4 linked regions of the Oryzias latipes genome follow. The protein of the gene in region 1 binds, or shares a complex with, the protein of each later gene. Links are inferred from orthologs where the notes say so. Each region holds a gene or a part of one and is shown in the gene's direction. Other genes may lie near its edges.

What was found. The genes of interacting proteins can lie anywhere in the genome.
Region 2: gtf2h4 (region 1) and polr2l share a complex: the UniProt entries of both Homo sapiens proteins name them as parts of the TBP-based Pol II pre-initiation complex. The link is inferred for Oryzias latipes from reciprocal best matches to the Homo sapiens genes GTF2H4 and POLR2L.
Region 3: gtf2h4 (region 1) and gtf2a1 share a complex: the UniProt entries of both Homo sapiens proteins name them as parts of the TBP-based Pol II pre-initiation complex. The link is inferred for Oryzias latipes from reciprocal best matches to the Homo sapiens genes GTF2H4 and GTF2A1.
Region 4: gtf2h4 (region 1) and gtf2e2 share a complex: the UniProt entries of both Homo sapiens proteins name them as parts of the TBP-based Pol II pre-initiation complex. The link is inferred for Oryzias latipes from reciprocal best matches to the Homo sapiens genes GTF2H4 and GTF2E2.

The regions. Positions count from the first base shown.
Region 1 is NC_019869.2:21,551,931-21,556,878, forward strand, and holds the start of gtf2h4 (general transcription factor IIH subunit 4), read left to right. Parts: upstream 1-1,739; 5' UTR 1,740-2,096; intron 2,097-2,214; 5' UTR 2,215-2,259; intron 2,260-3,041; 5' UTR 3,042-3,043; coding exon 3,044-3,159; intron 3,160-4,294; coding exon 4,295-4,399; intron 4,400-4,948. Other genes in the region: znrd1 (DNA-directed RNA polymerase I subunit RPA12), read left to right, coding at 71-95. UniProt on the Homo sapiens protein: Component of the general transcription and DNA repair factor IIH (TFIIH) core complex, which is involved in general and transcription-coupled nucleotide excision repair (NER) of damaged DNA and, when complexed to CAK, in RNA transcription by RNA polymerase II.
Region 2 is NC_019861.2:18,860,614-18,864,464, reverse strand, and holds polr2l (DNA-directed RNA polymerases I, II, and III subunit RPABC5), read left to right. Parts: upstream 1-1,985; 5' UTR 1,986-2,117; intron 2,118-2,558; exon of another isoform or gene 2,559-2,576; 5' UTR 2,577-2,585; coding exon 2,586-2,680; intron 2,681-2,961; coding exon 2,962-3,073; 3' UTR 3,074-3,212; downstream 3,213-3,851. UniProt on the Homo sapiens protein: DNA-dependent RNA polymerase catalyzes the transcription of DNA into RNA using the four ribonucleoside triphosphates as substrates.
Region 3 is NC_019882.2:4,170,894-4,175,963, reverse strand, and holds the start of gtf2a1 (transcription initiation factor IIA subunit 1), read left to right. Parts: upstream 1-2,131; 5' UTR 2,132-2,340; coding exon 2,341-2,370; exon of another isoform or gene 2,371-2,407; coding exon of another isoform or gene 2,408-2,413; intron 2,414-3,649; coding exon 3,650-3,751; intron 3,752-3,861; coding exon 3,862-4,030; intron 4,031-4,121; coding exon 4,122-4,186; intron 4,187-4,607; coding exon 4,608-4,683; intron 4,684-4,759; coding exon 4,760-4,881; intron 4,882-4,975; coding exon 4,976-5,070. UniProt on the Homo sapiens protein: TFIIA is a component of the transcription machinery of RNA polymerase II and plays an important role in transcriptional activation. TFIIA in a complex with TBP mediates transcriptional activity.
Region 4 is NC_019859.2:11,936,492-11,941,352, forward strand, and holds the start of gtf2e2 (transcription initiation factor IIE subunit beta), read left to right. Parts: upstream 1-1,922; 5' UTR 1,923-2,144; intron 2,145-2,833; 5' UTR 2,834-2,838; coding exon 2,839-2,998; intron 2,999-3,792; exon of another isoform or gene 3,793-4,443; coding exon of another isoform or gene 4,444-4,755; exon of another isoform or gene 4,756-4,764; intron 4,765-4,861. Other genes in the region: smim18 (small integral membrane protein 18), read right to left, coding at 4,444-4,755. UniProt on the Homo sapiens protein: Recruits TFIIH to the initiation complex and stimulates the RNA polymerase II C-terminal domain kinase and DNA-dependent ATPase activities of TFIIH. Both TFIIH and TFIIE are required for promoter clearance by RNA polymerase.

The DNA.
Region 1 (4,948 bases):
GGTGGCGTCAGCGTGACCCTCCTGTCCTGCTGTACGGTTCTGGAGCTGACCGGTCTTTGTCTTGTTTCAGGTTCCAGGAAAAGGAGGACTCCTGAGAAAAGCTTTTGCTTACTATCTGATCACAATCACCTCAACTCTGGTTCTGTTTTGATCCAGGGAGCTGCTTTTTTGTAGTGATGAGCTGTTTCTGTTTGTTAAACTGAACTTGTGCATGTTCTGGTGCACGTGTTGGTCCTCTCCACCTTTGTCACACATGACACTGGTCAGTTCATCGGGACTCTACAAGAAAAAAAACAGGAATCGATGTCTCAGATTTAAACTGCAGCCACGGAGGCTCAGGACAATCAGGTATACATTTTACACAAGTCAACTAAAGTGAAGGAGCAGGACAGCAACTCAGCAAACTAACCAGAAACAATAAAACTGTATCAGCTGTTTATATTTATTTTTCCTGAAGCATACCCTGATTCTCAACTGGACAGCTGTTAGTACTTGCGCGCATTTTCTCAGAAAATGATCTCTTTATAGTTTGATTAATTTCTTTAAAACTCTTGTCAAAGACCAGAAAACTGTCATCCTATGTTTTTATAAAGTATTCTACCAAATTTGAACTGTTGTATCCAGTAAGGCTTCAACTTACATCTCACATGGCTGTTAAATTGTTCTTTAAATGATAAAGAACGCTCTTGGTATCTGACATGTTCTTTTTGTTGATTTATTGAAGCAGAATGGTAAACGGCGTATACTTATTTAGCCCCTTAACTATCTTCTTGGAGCATTTTACAGTCACAGTTCCATTCACCCATGAACACACACACTGATTGTGGCTCAGCTACCAAACCATGTTGCCAACCTATAACCCCCAGAAGCAAGGTGGGGTTCAGTGTCTTAACCTTGGACACATGGGCGGGTAGGGTGGGAATTAAACCTGCAACCTCTTGATCAGGGGTTGACCGCTCTACTTCTGCACCACAACTGCCCTGTTAAGTTGCCAGCAGCATTTAGAAAAAAACAGTTCAACCTCCTTGGTCTAGTTTGGTCCTCCTGGGCCTCAGTAGCTCTCCATCATACCTATACCCCCCCCCCCCCCCCAATCTCTCTCTAAAGCCTTTTTAATAACTGCCCCCCTCATCTATTATCCACAGGAGATGCACAAGCAGGCAAGCTATTTGGCATAAAAGTAAACTCTTACAAAAACTCTTCATCTGCAGTGATGCCATAGAGGTAAATGACCTTTGAGTGACCTTTTGAGTCAACATGAATGCTAAGGTGATAGGCCATAGTAACAATTGTATTTTGTTGACTGATCCGGCTAAAAAAAAAAGTGTGTTGATGTCCAAAAACCAAGTTTATTTAACCCCCGCCAATATCATTGAGATTTTTTTTATTTAATTCTGGTCCAGCCCAGGCTTTCAAGCAGTTTTACACAGTTTAAGTCCTGGCTTGTGGGAGACTTAACTTTGGAAAAGAAACAAGTTTGTTTTTTTTTCTTTACATTTTTTATCTGTTTTAAATGATTCTGAGATCATACAAAAAAGCCACAAAGCTGAAGGGTGAAAGCCCCATGTGTTTGAATATGCATGATGTGATTCTTTAGGTTTTAAAAAAGGCTTAGTGACCTCGGCTAGGTAAGAAAGTAGCCTTGAGAGAGTAAACGTTTGGTGGCGCTGTAGAGGCATCTGTGGAGCTGGGTCAAAATCTTTTAAAAATGTATATTTTTTATCAGAGAACATGACTTGTGCAGGTTTTTTGCTATATCTTGTACATGTTGCACTGAAAAAAAACAAAAGATAATTTTCACACCAGCACCAATGAAATAAGCAAACCAAAAAGGTGATCAAATTGTAATTTCAGGTAGGAGAAGAGATATAGTTTACTATTGTGAATTATTTTTTCTAAGATAGTAAAATTTGCAACTTCCGTTTCAAAGGATGGAAATAAACTGAGCAGAAACGCACTGCTGCTACAAACCACCAGAGGGCGCACTATAGCTGCCTTACCAACAAATAAAAAAGATTTAGACCAATGAAAGCTCGCTTTGTTGTTACGTCACAACAACATGGCTGTCGACTAGCATCCGAGTTTGCTTCACTGATGTTGTAATGAATCTTAGTTTATTGTGACTTTGTTTTGAGATCCAGCAGCTCCCCACAGGTTCGGTCCGCGTGCCTGAGTTCTGTTTTATGTTTCCTTTGATCTTTTTTGCTTCCTCAGAATCGGCGAAGATTCAGAACCTGCTGTGATAAGATCAGAACCGGAGTAAGTAACTGGATTCAAACACAACAGGATCAGACTGAAATGTTGTTACTTTGCAATAATAATAACAATAATAATAATAACAAAACAATCGTATTAGTAATTTGTAATAATAAACAACAGTACATTACTTCTAAGTGGAGTATTTATTTTGGCACCAATTAAATGCCTCAAATTCTGACATACTGGATTGTTAACTTTGATGTTTTAAATGCCCCCCACGAGCTTGGGTGCAATTGATTAAATAAGGTATTAAAAACCTTATTTTAAATGTTTTTGTTGTTCATTTTTTCTGTATTTTATAGCAAGCAAGAGCAGAATATAAATGATAATGTAGGAGGAACGATACAAGATGATCACCTTTTCTCCAATATCTGCAGTGGGTTTTTATGAGATATCATAAAATCAAGATAATTTACAGACAATTAAGGCCTAGTCTGTTAGAATCTGTATGTTCCCTTAAGAGAACACACAATATCTCCACATTTGACTAAAGGTTTTGCATTTCTGTTATAGTTTGACACAAAAAAGCAATTCAACATCTTTATATTTTCTTATGTGTCTGAGGAACATTTTGGGCACATAATCAAATCTGAGGAGTTATCGTCCTGTGTCTGACAGAACTATTCAGTCTGCCAGAATGTAACTGTTTGAATGTCTCATGTGGTACAAGTATTTCACAGAACAACAAACTTGGCAAAACCTAATTTGCATATCTGTCCGTCTATCTGGTGACATGCCAATCAAATGATCCATCCGTCTGTGGTCTTGGTGTCTTGTTGCAGGGATGAAGCTGCGTGTCCAGCTGCAGTGCAAAAACCTGCACGAGTACCTGAGAGAGCTGGGCCCGGACGTCCTGGACCGCCTTTACAATCACCCAGCTACCTGCCTGGCTGTGTGCAGGTACCAGCTCCATATCCAAAAGACGGCGTCTCTCTTGAGCACATTAAAATTCCTGCTGGAATGCATGATATTTCTAAACATTTCGGACTACCTCCTGTTTGCAGTTTGTAGCGCTATGCCTGATAAGGCTAGAAGATGCATAAAAAGAGAATAAAAGTTACCTACCACATCTGTATTTTATAAACATAAGTTTCAAATCCACCAAATGCCAAGATTGAACTTTACATTCTCATAAAAAAGCAATACCTAACCTCCTTGACATTTTACTTTTATTATAAAATTTTACATTATATATAATCAGGGCTCTAGATTACCACCTGCCCAGAAAACCAATTTGACTAACCACTTAAAAAGGTGAGGCATTGTTCTGCATCTCTGACAGGGTGGGTCAAAGTCACAACTATGACTTTTAAGTCTCTGCCTCACTCCACACTTAGCTTCAACAAACACCCATCTCAAATTGGTTCAAACATTTAATTCTGACTTTTTTTGCGCAGAGTTAAGTCACATGAGCCGCAACACAAATGACCATGACTAGAAATAAACATTAGAAATTTGGTGCTTTAAAGAAAGGAATGTGTTTATAAAAAGGTTCAGAGATCAGAAGTGTCTTTTGTTAAGATTCAGATTCAGATTCAGAGGGATTTTTATTGCCATGTCAGTGAACGGAACACAACAGTTTCACAGACTAGGAATTTGCTGCAGTGCCAATGTGTCACATACAACACTTAAGAATAATAATAAAATAAACAGTAATGAGCCAAAAACATAGACACAGTGATCAGAACAAGTAAAAAGAAATACAATAGTGCAACAGAGGTGCATTACATTTCGGTATATTATACAACCTGACATAAGAATACACTTTTAATTAGTGTTTTCAAGAGAAAATTATCATCAACTGAAACTTTATAAAAAATGGAATAAATGTGTTTCTTTCAAATACATAACTTATTTTTCCAGAGAAATGTTTGGCTAGTAGAAATCTAACTTGGCTGGTAGACTAGTTACTGGGGACCCCATCTAGTAACCAAAAAAGGTCATTTAGGGCCATGATATATAATAAAATTAAGGATAGTCTGAATATTTACCACAGGGTGATCTCATCTGCTTTGTGTTGGCCCTTTCTCTGCAGAGAGCTCCCCTTGCTGGCTAAGAACTATGTGATGCGGATGCTGTTTTTGGAGCAGCCCCTCCCTCAAGCAGCTGTCGCCCTGTGGGTGAGGAAGGATGGACAGAGGTGAGGCTCCCATGTTCTCCCTGATCTACAATTTTGAACGGTCAGGAGCACAAAAGCTGCTTTTAGGAAGCTGCTGTTGCAGCGCCTCCTGCTGGCGCTTTAAGTGCTCAGCAGCCATCACTGCTGTGGTTCAACGAGAGCAAACTGAGCAAACCGACAGAACCAGGGGGATATTCCAGGAAGCATGTTTAAACTAGCCAGACTTTAAGCCTGAACTCTGGCTGAAATCCGCCTAAACTTGCTTACTCTGGGTATGTCGGTTCCAAAAGACCGGATATGAGTAAGTGTAATTACGCTCGACTTGGTAACCCTGGGTTAATGCTCGTGCACAGGAGGTACATAAAGACATTCTCAATAGATGGCCGATTTCTGGAGTCACCATGGAAACGCGTGGAGAAAAAAAAAGCGGTACACTTGAGACGGAAGTGAGACGGAGTCTGAGATTTTAATGACGGCGGATAGAAATTATAAGTCCATCAAAAAAGTAACACGGCTGCATCAGCAAAAAAAAGAGTTTCTGCTTGGAGAAAAATAACAAAGTTTCTGATC
Region 2 (3,851 bases), on another chromosome or scaffold:
GAAAAAAAGTTAAATTGTATTTTGAAGGAGACAAAAATAAGAGATGAAAAGCTCTACTGTAAAATGCTAAGAGGAATCATTAACATTTCATGCCATGCAAAATACAATCAGCCATCTCAGATCTGTCTGTTTACATTGTTGCTTAAGAGCCATTAGTGTTGCAGTATCAAGTTGCCAAAACATGTCTACTGGTTGTCTATCCCATGCAGTCTTATTGCCCGAAATATCACCTGTACAGCTCCACAAGCATGTCTGTTTAGCTTGAATTATAAAATTTGAGTTTCTGCTTTCATGAAAACAGGAAGAAGGAAGGCAGTGGTAACAAACACACACATAATTTAAGTTGTAGAGGAACTTCGATATTGCGCTCAGTTCTGACAGAAAATTATCATAAAACACTCACCACAGCCACCCCTTCCAACCCCTACCATGTCCAAGAAGATAGTAGCACCAAAGTAAATTTCACCTTACATTGTACAATATAGTGTACCAAAAAAAGAAAAGGAAAAATTCTTATTTTCATAATTTTAACAGCGTATAAATGCAATAATTCAGGTAGGACTATTCATTTAGCACATGTGCTGTAGCAAGTTAAATTGCATAGATGATGTAATAATGTTTGGTGTTGACGATGGCGATGTTGGTGACAATACATGATGCCAATGATGATGATAGTTATCATTGTGTCTGTTAGAATGATACGAAGGATATTTTATTATTCTATATTTTAACTGATTTTCATAATGCAGCCCGGCTTTTGTCCCCAAATGTCTAAATGTAAAAAAGGAAGAGTTTAAACTTCAGCCTCAATAAAAGAAGTGAACCAGTCTGAATTATTTTTTTAAATGCACAAGAATTATCAAAGCAATTATATTAGTAGAAATGTGAGTTTCAGTTAAATTTATGATCTTGTAAGTTCTACCCTGTGACAGACTGGCGACCTGTCCACAAGTGGTCGAGATAGGCTCCGGCAGCCCCGTGACCCCGAAAGGGAAAAACGGTTAAGAAAATGAATGAATGAATGAATCTTGTAAGTTCAAGAGAGTTTTAACATGGACTGCCAACAAATATAAAAAAGGAATTGGGTACCGGTACTTTTGAATACTGGTATGTTGAGAAATCTAGATGAGACTAAGGCTTAGATCAGATTTACATTTGATTTATGTTCACAACTTTTTTTTTCTGCAAATGAAAATAAGGAAAGACAGTTAAAGATTAGTTAATAAACAGCAACAGTTTCACAGAAAGTATTGGCTAATAAGCTATCCAAATGAAAATATTTAAACTTGAAAATGAAAGCTGTAGATCTACAGTCAAGATTAGAAAAAGAGGATTTTTTTGGGATTTGCATTTTATGCCAATTCCCAAATAAGGATTTTTTATTTTATTTTACTCACATGACTGTGGCAACATTAGAATGTTTTCTAAATTATTGCAGAGAAATCCTCAAATAACAAAAAGTAATATTTGCATATAGACAAATGTTGGTGAATACATATACCATATAAATGTAGTTGTTTCCTTATCATAGAACATGAATGTGTAGGTGATTTAAATTAAAGCATTTAATCATTGGACACATATGTCGTCTGGGATTAACTGGTATTATTACAGACCCACCCAGAGAGATGTGATTTTATTTTGGTTTGAGGAACAGATTTCTCAATATTTGAGGGCCGATGCAGGTTGTATTTAGACAATGTGCTACCTTCTTTAAAAAAAAAAAAATATATATATATATATATATATATATATATATATATATATATATATATATATATATATATATATATATATATAGTAAAAATGCAAATCGTACGCGTCAGTTTTTGTAACAAATACTTTTACGCGATAAAATAATTTTTTTGTTAAATCCTAAAGTTGTGTTTTACATACAGAAAATGAACACACAGCAGTTAAACTCAACAGCATTGTTTACCTAAATTTAGTGGTTTATTTAAATTAGTTTTATTTTGTAGGATCACATCCGGAAGCTCTGTATTACACCGGAAATGGTTATTTGAGCTGTGATGTTTATATCGTCAACGGTTAAACTTTGTCTCTACTATTATTACAAATAACGCTGTTTAAGTGTTGGACAAACTTGACCAATAAAGGTGAGTTAACAACTTCCTTTTTTAACGTAATGTTACTAATATTTTTATTTCATTTGTACCCGAGTTTGGGAAGCATGTGAACGACGGCGTGCTGCTAGGCTAGCTGCATGTACGCGGCTAGCGTTGGCCTTTCTTTTTGTTTTTTAAATCTCAGTAATTTAAACACAAGTTACTTAATTATATTATATCGTTTACAGAAATTGTAGCGCAAGATATTTGCGTTCATTTTAGTTACGACGTTCCTAAACAACGTGTTGGTACCTTCCTTTAGAAGTATTTGCTAGCATCATAAGCGGAATTATGTTGTAGGAACATGTGTAACATAATTACCCTTTCTCAGATATGACCATATTCATATTGGCATGTTTTTGTTTATTTAATTTTTTTTTATTATTGATTTGATTGTTGATTATATTATTTATTGTGGATTGAATATCTTAGTTTGGCTCCTTCTTCAAGCATCCAGAAATGATTATCCCGGTGAGGTGTTTCACTTGTGGGAAGATCGTGGGGAACAAATGGGAAGCCTACCTTGGTCTTCTTCAGGCCGAATACACTGAAGGGTGAGACAGATGCGCTTCATTTTCATTTTACCTTCATGTTTCGTTCGTTCAACAATGTGTCACCGTAATGCTATATGGTCAAGTTTTCTGAAACTAAATAAAGGCCTTCATTCAACCTCTACTCCTCCTGTTTCACTGTCAGTCAAGATGTTAGTTTGAATTCAGACCATTTGAGGATACAACATTTAAAACTAACTATAGAAATGTTTTTTTTTTTTTTTTCTGTAATTATGCAAGCAATATCTGGCACTAAAATTACTTTTCCATCTTCCCTTTTCTAGTGATGCTCTTGATGCCCTGGGCCTGAAGAGGTACTGCTGTCGGAGGATGCTGCTTTCCCATGTGGATCTTATTGAGAAATTGTTAAATTATGCACCGCTGGAAAAATTTTAGCTGGAAGAACATGCTTTGAACATGGCCTGTGCATATATTCAGTGTTTAAGAAATGTCAACAATAATGACTTGGTGTATTGTGCACATATGTGGCAATGAAAATTTTATTTAAATAAAGTTTTTTCTTTAAAGTATTCGATTCACTGAGTTGAGATGCCATCTAATTTTTGAGGCGTTGAGTTAAATCGCTCAACCTTTCACTTTATGTACTTATGAAAACATGCAAACAAATAATGTTATACTATTCAACAGCAGAGCACATAAGACGAGAATACTTTGGGATTTTTTTTAATTGTAGATTTTCTACCAAAAGAAATGTGAAATTACAATGATTACAGAAAGAATTGTTATGGTGCATGCAAACAAAGTCTTATTTTACAAGAAAAAATCTACAGCCAATTTTTGTTAAAACAAGTCCTATTATATAAAGGAAGAACAAAACCGTGTTCTCAGATTGAACAAACAATCCTTGATTCTTTTATATACAACTCGACGCAACAATGCTCCTCTGCCTCCAATCTGGGGAAGCAAGAACAAAACATCGTCATGGCGGTTGGAACTTTAACTCTTGAAGAGTTATAGTGAATGTGCAGAAGGTTTTCAGCAAATTACAATGCCACTTTGTTACCAACAATTAAAATGTTTACAACAATTTATTTATAATAGAGCATTTGGAAAAAGCAAACTCTCATAATGCCCTTTCAAGTTTTAAATTGGTCCAAAGCAAATTACAGATTTTTTTTAACAATCACACAGCACAACTGCTGTTGAGATGTGT
Region 3 (5,070 bases), on another chromosome or scaffold:
CGAGATCCCCAAAATCTGATGTTTCGTTCAAACCTGCCAAACCAAATGCTCTGAAATTGCCATTTCTGAGAGGGTTTTTATTTTTGTTGTTGTTGTTGTTTTGCTCCTCTCCCTGACGAGATTACATTACTGCCGTTACGTTTAGAGACCTGCCTGAGCTGGATATCGGAAAGCCATAGGTTAGAGATGTCAAATTGCAAAGCTGTTATCGATCGGTGAGATGCCATGCAGAGTACACCCAGGTGTTCCTTTTTTTATTTAATTTTTTTTATTCTTGTTGTTTTTTCCCCCCATCCACCCGGTAAATGTTCAGTTTTTCTCCCCTTATTGTGCAATCACATTGCCAAAGAATGATTTCAAGACCTATTTCATCACTACATGTAAATATCAACGTTGTCTAATACCGTGGCAAAAAAATATATAAATGTTGTTTTATTTTGTTTTCCATTTTCTGAACAACTACAATGATGTTTATGTGATGTATTGTCTTCCAGTTGGTTGCAATAATAAAAAAAATACAAGTTGCAGAAAAGATTCTTGCCTGTTTCTTATTTGCTGGTTTTTCATGAAAATCCATCTAATTGAAGCACTTTCCTCTCAAAGTCTGAAGTTAAATATAGTTGAGGATTACTAGTAAGCATAAATCCCTCCCTTAGCAGCATCGTTTAAACTTGAAACGCCATTTACTGGCAGTGTTAGCTTTAATTCACTCTCAAACCTGACCTCAATCATTAACCCCGCACATTCTCATCAACAAGAGGTCTTATCATAACCATGCTTCCTCTCCCAGATAATTAGTCATTTACTTCGTCTAATCATTTAAGTTCAATACTTCTGATTAACTACCCCCCACCCCTTCAGGGAGGGACGTAAAAGAGTTAAGTGCACCAAAGAGTTCCTCAATGTCTTATCAGTCTGAGTGGTGCCATTTTGGAGCCGTGTGGCGGTGGAAGCCCATTCATAATTGAAGTAGAGACCGGCTTAATCTTGAGCCAGTGGCTCCCTGTGCAGCACGCTCCCATCACAACACAACTGGAGCTTGCAGCTCCTCTGTTGCTATGCAACTACAGCAAAGAAGGGGGAGTAGGGAGTGGGGGGGGGGGGGGGGGTAAAGTGTGCATTCTCCAGATCTTTAGAGGGCATCATGCTTCTCTAATGTTACACCGGAGTGAAGCTCAAAGACAGCAATGCCCTAGCCTGCATATATGATCACATCCCAAACATTCATAGCATGGATCACTCGCTTGCTTTTTGATCACGTTGAACTTTGCTTCCCCTGTAATTATAGAAGCATGAGAGGGTGATCTGCAGGGTCAGATCACCCTCTCTCTCTTTTTTTTACATCTTCTTTAGATAATTTCAGTAAACACAGTTTTCAGAAAACACTGAATTGTTTGTGGATTGATGCAAACAGTCTTCCCTAGTCTATATCATCTATATCCACAGAGTGGCCAGGGAAGCAAGTTTCCATGGAGACTGAAGTGGAGTTAACAATGTCTACACGAAATTATTGCAAAGCTTTTTTTTAAGGATTTTCCCTTTGGTTGTGTATTTTTGGATCAAGTGAATATGATCTTAAATACTTCTTCAAATGTGCACAGATCTTCTTAATTAAAGATCACATATAGCACGCTGCATGTGAAAAATATGCCCGTCTCAAAGCTCCAGTGAAACACAGGTTATTTTCATGTGATGTTGTCTTATCGCCCTCTTGTGGCTGTAGAACGATACTACAAGGAACATAGAAATAAATCGGGCTTTTGGATTCAGATTTGAACCTTTTCGTTATAAAATAAAAGTAATGAATACAACACAGAATTTACTATACAGGAAAAATCTCGATTTAGCTGAAAAAGTTAAATCAATTAAAACTTGTAACCCTCTATTTGTAAACATTCTCAACACAATACAAACTCACAAACAAAAACAATGTAATTGTAATCATGGTTAACAATTGGATAATTTGTCCAACAAATCTAAAAAGCTAAGTATCCAATCGCATTGTGAAATTTACAATTTAAACTACATTTCCCAGCACGACGTCAGTGATTAGTCATCGTTTTTTGTGGCAAATCTCGCGCTATGTGCCTTTTGACCCTGCCCTATGTCTCGCGCACTCGCAGCTCCATCGCTCAGTATATAAAGCAGGACAACGACGAAAGGAGGACGGCTGGGGAGTCGCAGCCCGGGATTGTAAATAAGACCGTTAAAACTGTGTTTTATTTACAAAAGTAATGCCGGCTGTTTTAAAGTACCTTTCCCAGTTGTTTTAAGTCTTTTTTCTTAATTTTTGGCACTGTTTCTCGCCTATTTCCGTGTGGTTTTTACACTACGCGTATAATGGCGAGCTCGGCAAACTCGAACCCAGTGGTAAGGATCAATCTCTCAGGACTGTCAACGGGGGAAAATGGGGGTAAAGTTGATGGAAAAACGTGTCAACGATCTGTTTTTTTTTTTAATTTATTTTTTTTATTCATTACAGTAAAAATGAGTTTTACCAACACCGTTATGTCCATTCAAAGGAATACTCACGGTCATTTTTTTTATACCAGTTTTCGAAACTCAATGAAAAAAGAGCTTATAGAACTGATTACTTTTGTAGGACCCGAATCTCTTTAAATATTTAAATTAAATGTGATCAAAAATAAATTTTAAAGTTAAAAGTTGCCTGTTTATACGGTATTAGTTGTTAACGTAAGTGCTTCCGAAAACCTTCTGGACATTTTTTTAAAGCTAAATTGAGTTGAAATCCGCATTGAATGCGTTAGCTAACTAGTTAAGTTAGGGGTGCTCATTTTTGTTTACACGGGGGAAAATGTCATACTTATTGTCGCATAACTGTTGGAGGGGAGGGAAACTGATGTACGCAAAGCACATATGCACCATCCACTGCGACTGAATTTAGCTAAAAAAATTTTATTAAAAGCTTGGCGTCTTGAACGCTCTGTCAACTGCTTCTTCTTCATTGTCCTCCATTCCACGACCAGAGGGCAGGAGAGCCGTCCCAAATCACCCTCAACGCAACAAATGTCCCGCTCCAGTCAAAAATGTTTAGTCAAAACGGATCCTTTCATGAGATAAACCACCGAAACCGTCATCTTCAGTCCGCCATATCTTGCTAGTCGAGGAGGGAAAAGAGGCGCGCGCGCGCTTGCCGCTCTGTAAAATGGCTTCCTCGTCTCCTCTCTCGGTTCTGGCCCTCCTCCTTTCTGCTGCCTGGTTTTATACCGCCATATTGGCCGTCTAATATAGACTGCCCGGGATGGGACGGTGCTACACGACGCTACGTCACCGGTTCTTCACATAAACAGCAGACTGCGCTTTAAATAGTGCCGGAGCTGACGGGGAGGAGAGCAGAGAGACGGACATTCGGTGTCCCGCTTCTCGTTCTGCGTAGAAGCCAGAATGTTGTCCGTGACAGTTCCCCGCGCGTGCAGCTCTGTCTCGAGGGACGCGTTTAGTCCTGCTGACAAATGGATCAGTGCAGATTATTATATATGGGTTTGGATAATCTATCCATATACACAAGATGTGACCGTTTAAACTTAACACCTCTTTTATGAGTGTTTTCCTACATTTATTGTAAACATTTATATATGTTGAAACCACCACCAATAAATTGTGTATTTGCTCTGTTTTGTCATCATAGCCTAAATTATACAAGTCTGTTATTGAGGATGTGATCAATGAGGTGCGGGAGCTGTTCCTGGATGAAGGGGTGGACGAGCAAGTTCTTCTGGAGCTGAAAACGGTAATCCGTCTCATTTTACTGAGAGAAGGTTATAACCCCCCCCCCTCACACACACACACACACATGCAGCTCCGTGTTTGGTCAGATTCATCTGGAGTCTTGTCTTTCAGCTGTGGGAGAACAAGCTGCTGCAGTCAAAGGCGGTGGAGGGCTTCCACACCGAGGAGCAGGCGGCCCTGCAGACCGCTCAGCAGCAGCACCCGCACTCCCAACAGGCCCAGCAGGTGGCCCAGGCCGCGCCGGCCCAGCAGGTTATCCAGATTCCCTCGCAGCAACAAGGCGAGTCCGCACGTTGACATACAAACGTCGCCTGGACGTGTGTTGTTTTTTTTTTTTTTCAACCTGAAATAATGTGTTTTATTCTCAACAGCTCCCCAGCAGCAGGTCATAGTTCAGGACTCTAAAATGATACAGCACATGAATTCAACGGGAATGGTGAGTAGCATCTTACAAGCTGAAAACTGCACCGCCACACTTGAGAACCAAAAATTCTCCCAAACGTCCCGTTTTGTCATCGCACAAATCCACCCGGGGAATATCTGGGATAGTATCAAGGAAGCGACGGTTAGGAAAACTAGCCGGGCTGTGGGTTTTGGGAGAGGACTTTTTTTCTCAACAAGGACCTGGAGAACAAAACCGAGAAAGGGAAAAGCTTTCTTGTGGGGAGGCCATCTGTCTTTTTGAGCTTGAAACCTAGCCGCCGCTATAGCTTTTCCTTAAGTGATGGACCATGTTTGAAACCTTTAAGGCTTAAATGAAAAGAAAAAAGAAGATTTTTTCTTTTTTTATCACCTAGAAAATCCACCTTTTTGTGCTCTGGTATAATTGGAGCGGCTTTCTGTGTTTCCTCCTGCAGACCGCAGCAGCCACTGCAGCAACCCTTGCTTTGCCCACAGGGGTCACCCCCTACCAACAGCTCATCACAAGCCAAGGTAAAGCTCTCACCGTTCCTTTGGACTTTAGCGTGGTTGGATCTCAAAACGTTTTTTTGTTTTCCTGTTGATGCAGGTCAGCTCCTGCAGGTGGTCCGGGCTCCCAACGGGACTCAGTACATCATCCAGCCTCAGCAGCAGATCGTCCTGCAGAATCAGATGCAGCCTGGCGGCGTGCAGGCCCCCATTATACAGCAGGTACAGTCCATGTGTGAGGTCATCCTTTTGAGCATGAAACCAGTCTGGGAATTGATTTCTGAAAACTTGGAGTCCTTTTCTTGCAAACGTGCAGGTTTTAGCTCCTCTGCAGGGTGGACTGCCCCAGCAAGCAGGAGTCATCATTCAGCCGCAGCAGATCGTTTTGGCTCCAGGGAATAAAGTTCAAGG
Region 4 (4,861 bases), on another chromosome or scaffold:
CCATGCCTGCAGACTGAAATAATGAGGGAATGATGGGTAATTGTTTGGGATTTATGAAATTCAGGGAACTTAGAGTCAAAAAAGCGGCTGGATGGCTGAATGCAGGACTGGTTTGTGGAAAACCAGGGTTCATTTCCCAGGGGGCACGATGAGCTGAATCCAGTGTGGGTCCTTAGGTAAAACCCTACGCGGTAAGTCCCCCTGTGCCGGGTCCCAAGCCCGGATGAAATACAGGCTTGTGTCAGGAAGGTCATCCGGCGTTAAAAAAAATCTCTGCCGAACCACCTGTGCAAATCAGTGAAAGCTAATTCGCCGTGGCCACCCCCTGAAGGGAAACGCCGAAAGGTGAACAACAAGGGAACTTGAGGTCAAATAAGGAGAATCAGTTACAGAGTATGAAACCACAAACATGAGAACTTTTAAACCAGTTTAAATGTAATCTTCATGTTTTTCTTTCCTTTTTTACGCCTATTTATACTTTATCCTTGTTTGCTTTGTCCTTTCAAATGAGAGAATAAGACACTGAAGCCAAATTCCTTGTATATGCCCTCATTATTCGCTAATAAAATTGATTACTAGTCAGAGAAAAAAAAGGGAAAGTAAAATTATTTTTAGTATTATTTCTGTTTACAGTTTGGGGTTTGTTACCTCCAAACTGTCACTGTGTCAGAGTTACACTGCATTACATGACTTTATTACTTATAAAGTAATAATAAAGGGAAAGTAAAATTATTTTTAGTATTATTTCTGTTTACAGTTTGGGGTTTGTTACCTCCAAACTGTCACTGTGTCAGAGTTACACTGCGTTACATAACTTTATTACTTATAAAGTTATGACTCGTAATCAATTATTACTTATAGCGTTCTTTGTAAGACCTACAGAAGTAGAGGAAGTGACAAGGTACTGTCAAGCATTTCACTCTAAGACAAATGGCGATAAGCTTTAATAATCATTAAGTGAAAGTACAGGAAGCAGAATCACAGCTTTTTGTTGTTAAAATAAAACTATGAGTCATCTACCTAAATGGATAACAGAGTGACAGGAGAACCGTAGGGGTCTGTTTACCTCAGGAAAAGTGGAGCTGTCTATTAAATAATGATTCCAATCACCACACTTTGTCAAAAATAACTGATCAGATACATTTTTTTCTTCAAGAAAAAAAAAAAAAAAAAGATAAACACATTTGTTCAAGAAATCAAAAGTTAAATTATTGTTTCTAAGCTAAAAGTGATGAACCATGAGTTTATAAAGATATTTTTAGCAGAGTTTTTTTGTTCATGTGTTCTCGTCTCATTACTAAGTATGTAATGACTTTAATGTCATAGTAATGCTTTACACCCCTTTAGAACTGCAAAAGGTATGCTATCGTAATGTATTTTGTAACTACGTGCTGTAGGCTCCTCTACAGTAAAAAGAAAAAAAAAGGCTTTAAATTAAAAATATTATTCAAAAATAAATCCTGGAACTTTATTAACATTTCACTTAAGTGTTTCATCTTTTAACAAGAAATGAGATTAAACTTTATTGGTCAAAGCACAAAATTTGGCAAAGAAAACTTGTAAAGATTATGTTTATAATCGAAATGGCAATCACACCACAATGCAAAACAGAACATATTACAGTCAGGTGTTGGAAATAATACTTTTAATGTCTTATTACAAACTGTTGGTTATAATAATATCCAATAATTTTCAGTTTAAAAACTGAAAATGTTGGGGGAGAAACATTTGCTGAAACTATTTAATTGTTTTTAAACGTTCCGGCAAGAATTAAAAACTGTGAAACAGAACACTCATTATTTTAGCTATAGTTTCAGAATCCCTAACCAAAATAGCTCTCTTGCCTGAAATAAGTTGACTGTCCTCCAGTCCAGTAGGTGGCGATGTTGAGCTACACAGCTGCGGGTTTTTGCTTGCACGCGGAAGACGTCACCCAAGGAATAACATACGATAACGATAACCGACAACTCGAACACTAAACGAAACAGTTACATGATGGATACAAAAATAATACTTTTTTATTAGAAAGTAAGCTTGAGTTTACTTAAGCTTAAAATTGTCTTTCTATTTCACTTTTTAGTTTATAAATTAGTCTATCGGGACTTATTCGCCACTTTCTGGAAAGAAGAACTCAACAGTAGCAGGTAACGTTGACATGCTAACACTAGGATTAGCATCACATTAGGTGTTAGACAATGCGGGAACATTAATTAGCGGTTATGTGGGTCATGCTGTCACGGGATTCGGTTCTTTGGGGAAACTGGACTCTAAAGGTTCATCTCGATGACTTTTAGCTGCTTATATGAAGTTTTTTTTTTCCCGATAAACTGAAGAAGAAGCTAATCGGACAAACAGCGAACTTCTGTTATATATATGTTTAAATATGTTTTGAGTTGAGTTTTTAGTCCACTGTTTCTGTATTAAGTGTATTTCTTTGGTCACTGTTAATGTAGTAATTCCATGTCTTTGGCCCATATTGTCAGTAGAAGAACCGAACACAATTATTTTTGGCACAAATGGAACACCGTAGTTTTGAAGAACAGAATCCTGTCGTGTCAAGACAATGTTTTAACATCAAATCTAGTTACTAATAATAATCCTTATGCTCTACTTAATATTTGAAGAAAAAATAGTAAAACAGCTGCATCACTGATTAGATTGAGAAAAGAACCAGGTAAACATACCAGGTATAATAGATATGCATGGAGATGATGCACCTCACTGTTTCAGTATTATATTTATTTCATAAATTATATTTAATTTAAACGTTTGAAGCTTAGTAAAACTGCATTTTATCCAGCCTTTTCTGTGTTTACATGCTTTTGTCCACCAGCCTGGATGGATCCAGCTCTGCTTCGCGAGAGGGAGCTGTTTAAGAAAAGAGCTCTCTCCACGCCGGCTGTTGAGAAGAGACCAGCTGCATCAGACTCTGGATCCCACAAGAAGAAGAAGCCCAAGTTAGACAAGGAAGGCTCCTCTGGCTCCAAACACAGCACTGGTAGGTCATGCTTTATATCTGGTTACTGAGCTTCTCCTGGACGTGCCACAAGCTGCTCCGCTCCATTCTGATAAACCCACTTGCAGACAAATGGATCCATGTACGTCTTTGTTTTCCTCGCCTGGGCTGCCATCTGGCGTAAACCTTAAGTTTGCTCACCAATGTTGGGTTGGGTGTGTGAGAGGCTGTAAGCTTATGAGAGAGGATATGCAGAGAGCTCAGTAATGGATGACTGGAAGGGGGGGTAGGGTTGCTCCTTACAGCGCCGCTGGTCCCACTCGCAACTCAGGTGAAATTCCAATGAACTACTGCCACCCTGCAGAAACTATGTCCTAGAAAAACGACCCAGATTTTTTTAATTTTTAGCTAAAAATGACCTTCTCCTAAGTAAAAGACCAATGGAAACGCTTTCACAATAGATCAAAATATGATCGGAGGGGGTCTTTGAGTGAAACTGGCAGATTATTTTTAAGGATTATGTTTTCTTTCTTTTGTTTGGTTTAAATGTTGTTGTTTTTTAATGGATGGATGATGTAACACCTAGGCAATCAAAACTCATTCATCTGTCACTCATAGGTTATTCTGAGTCAAATATTTGAATAATTACGAAAAGCAAAGTGGTCAAAATTCTGCTGTCATTGCTTTTTTTTAAAGGTGTGCACAGATCAAAAAATGACTTCTAACATTTTTATAGTAAATATAAATAAAGCCTAAAAGAATTCTTTGGATGAAAGGACTGATTCATAAGAATCATGAAATATAGAGAAAGAAAATTCAAACTCTTTAACCAAACTTTTTGTTAGATCTCATTTTTATTGATTTTCTTTAGTCTTTTTATGTTTGTCTTCATGAAAATGCCAACATACCACATTGACCAACAGCCGTCCAACGCTAGATTTTATCACTTCATTTAGTTGCTTTTGGAAAATAAACGTCTTCATCTGTTAAAAAAGTTTCAGAAATGTCAGATTTTCCACCTGGTAACATGAGAGTGGCAGCTGATTTCTATACATCCACTACAAACAATTACAACTTTCGGCTCGCCTTAACATCCATTTAAATGAATCATGTTTATTTATAACAATTCTTTTTTATCATACCACAATGTTTTTAACCCAAAAGAAAAGATTTCCATCAACTTTTATCGGGTTTGTGGGAAGCCAAACGAAAACCTTTATTGTGTCTACAAATTCACGACTGTGTGTTTACCATAGAAGAACGGCAAAAAAACACAAAACTAAACAAAGATGACATGAGTCTTTAAAGCCCTAACTCGGCAAACGTTTCTGTGTACAGAATACTCTGGAACATTGATTCATTTTTTTCTTTGCCTCTGAATTGGATGCATGCAAATAGACAGTCTATGGTATCAGGGGTGCTTGTTTTGGCAATAAATTGGGCATCCCAACCCCAAACTCTTCCATTTTCCTTTGTCTGTGCTGCTGCTATACCACCTCCGTGTGGCTCTCCAGCTCCTTGCATGTTCTCGTCATGAGATTGCTGCAGCTTCCCGACCTTTCTTGCTGCAACTGGTGGCGCGTTTTCCCTTTGGCGCAGCAGCCGCAGTCCAGTAACTCGTAGAGAACGGCCAGAGCGGCCAGGGACAGAACGGTGAGGATGAAGAGCAGGAGGATGACGAAGCAGGCGACGTTCCAACCGTCGTGGAAGGGGTAGACTTCCTGTACCTGCAGGGAAACGTGGGACATGGGGATGGCCTCGGGGAGGGAGGGGGGTACGGTAGCTGTGGCGTTCGCCATGATCCGTGGCTAAAAAAAAAATGAAAGGAAAAAAAAAAAACATTAATGGTCTGTAGCAGTTTTTCAAAGCAGAAAAAAGGCTTTTGGAATAACTTTTATTTATGTT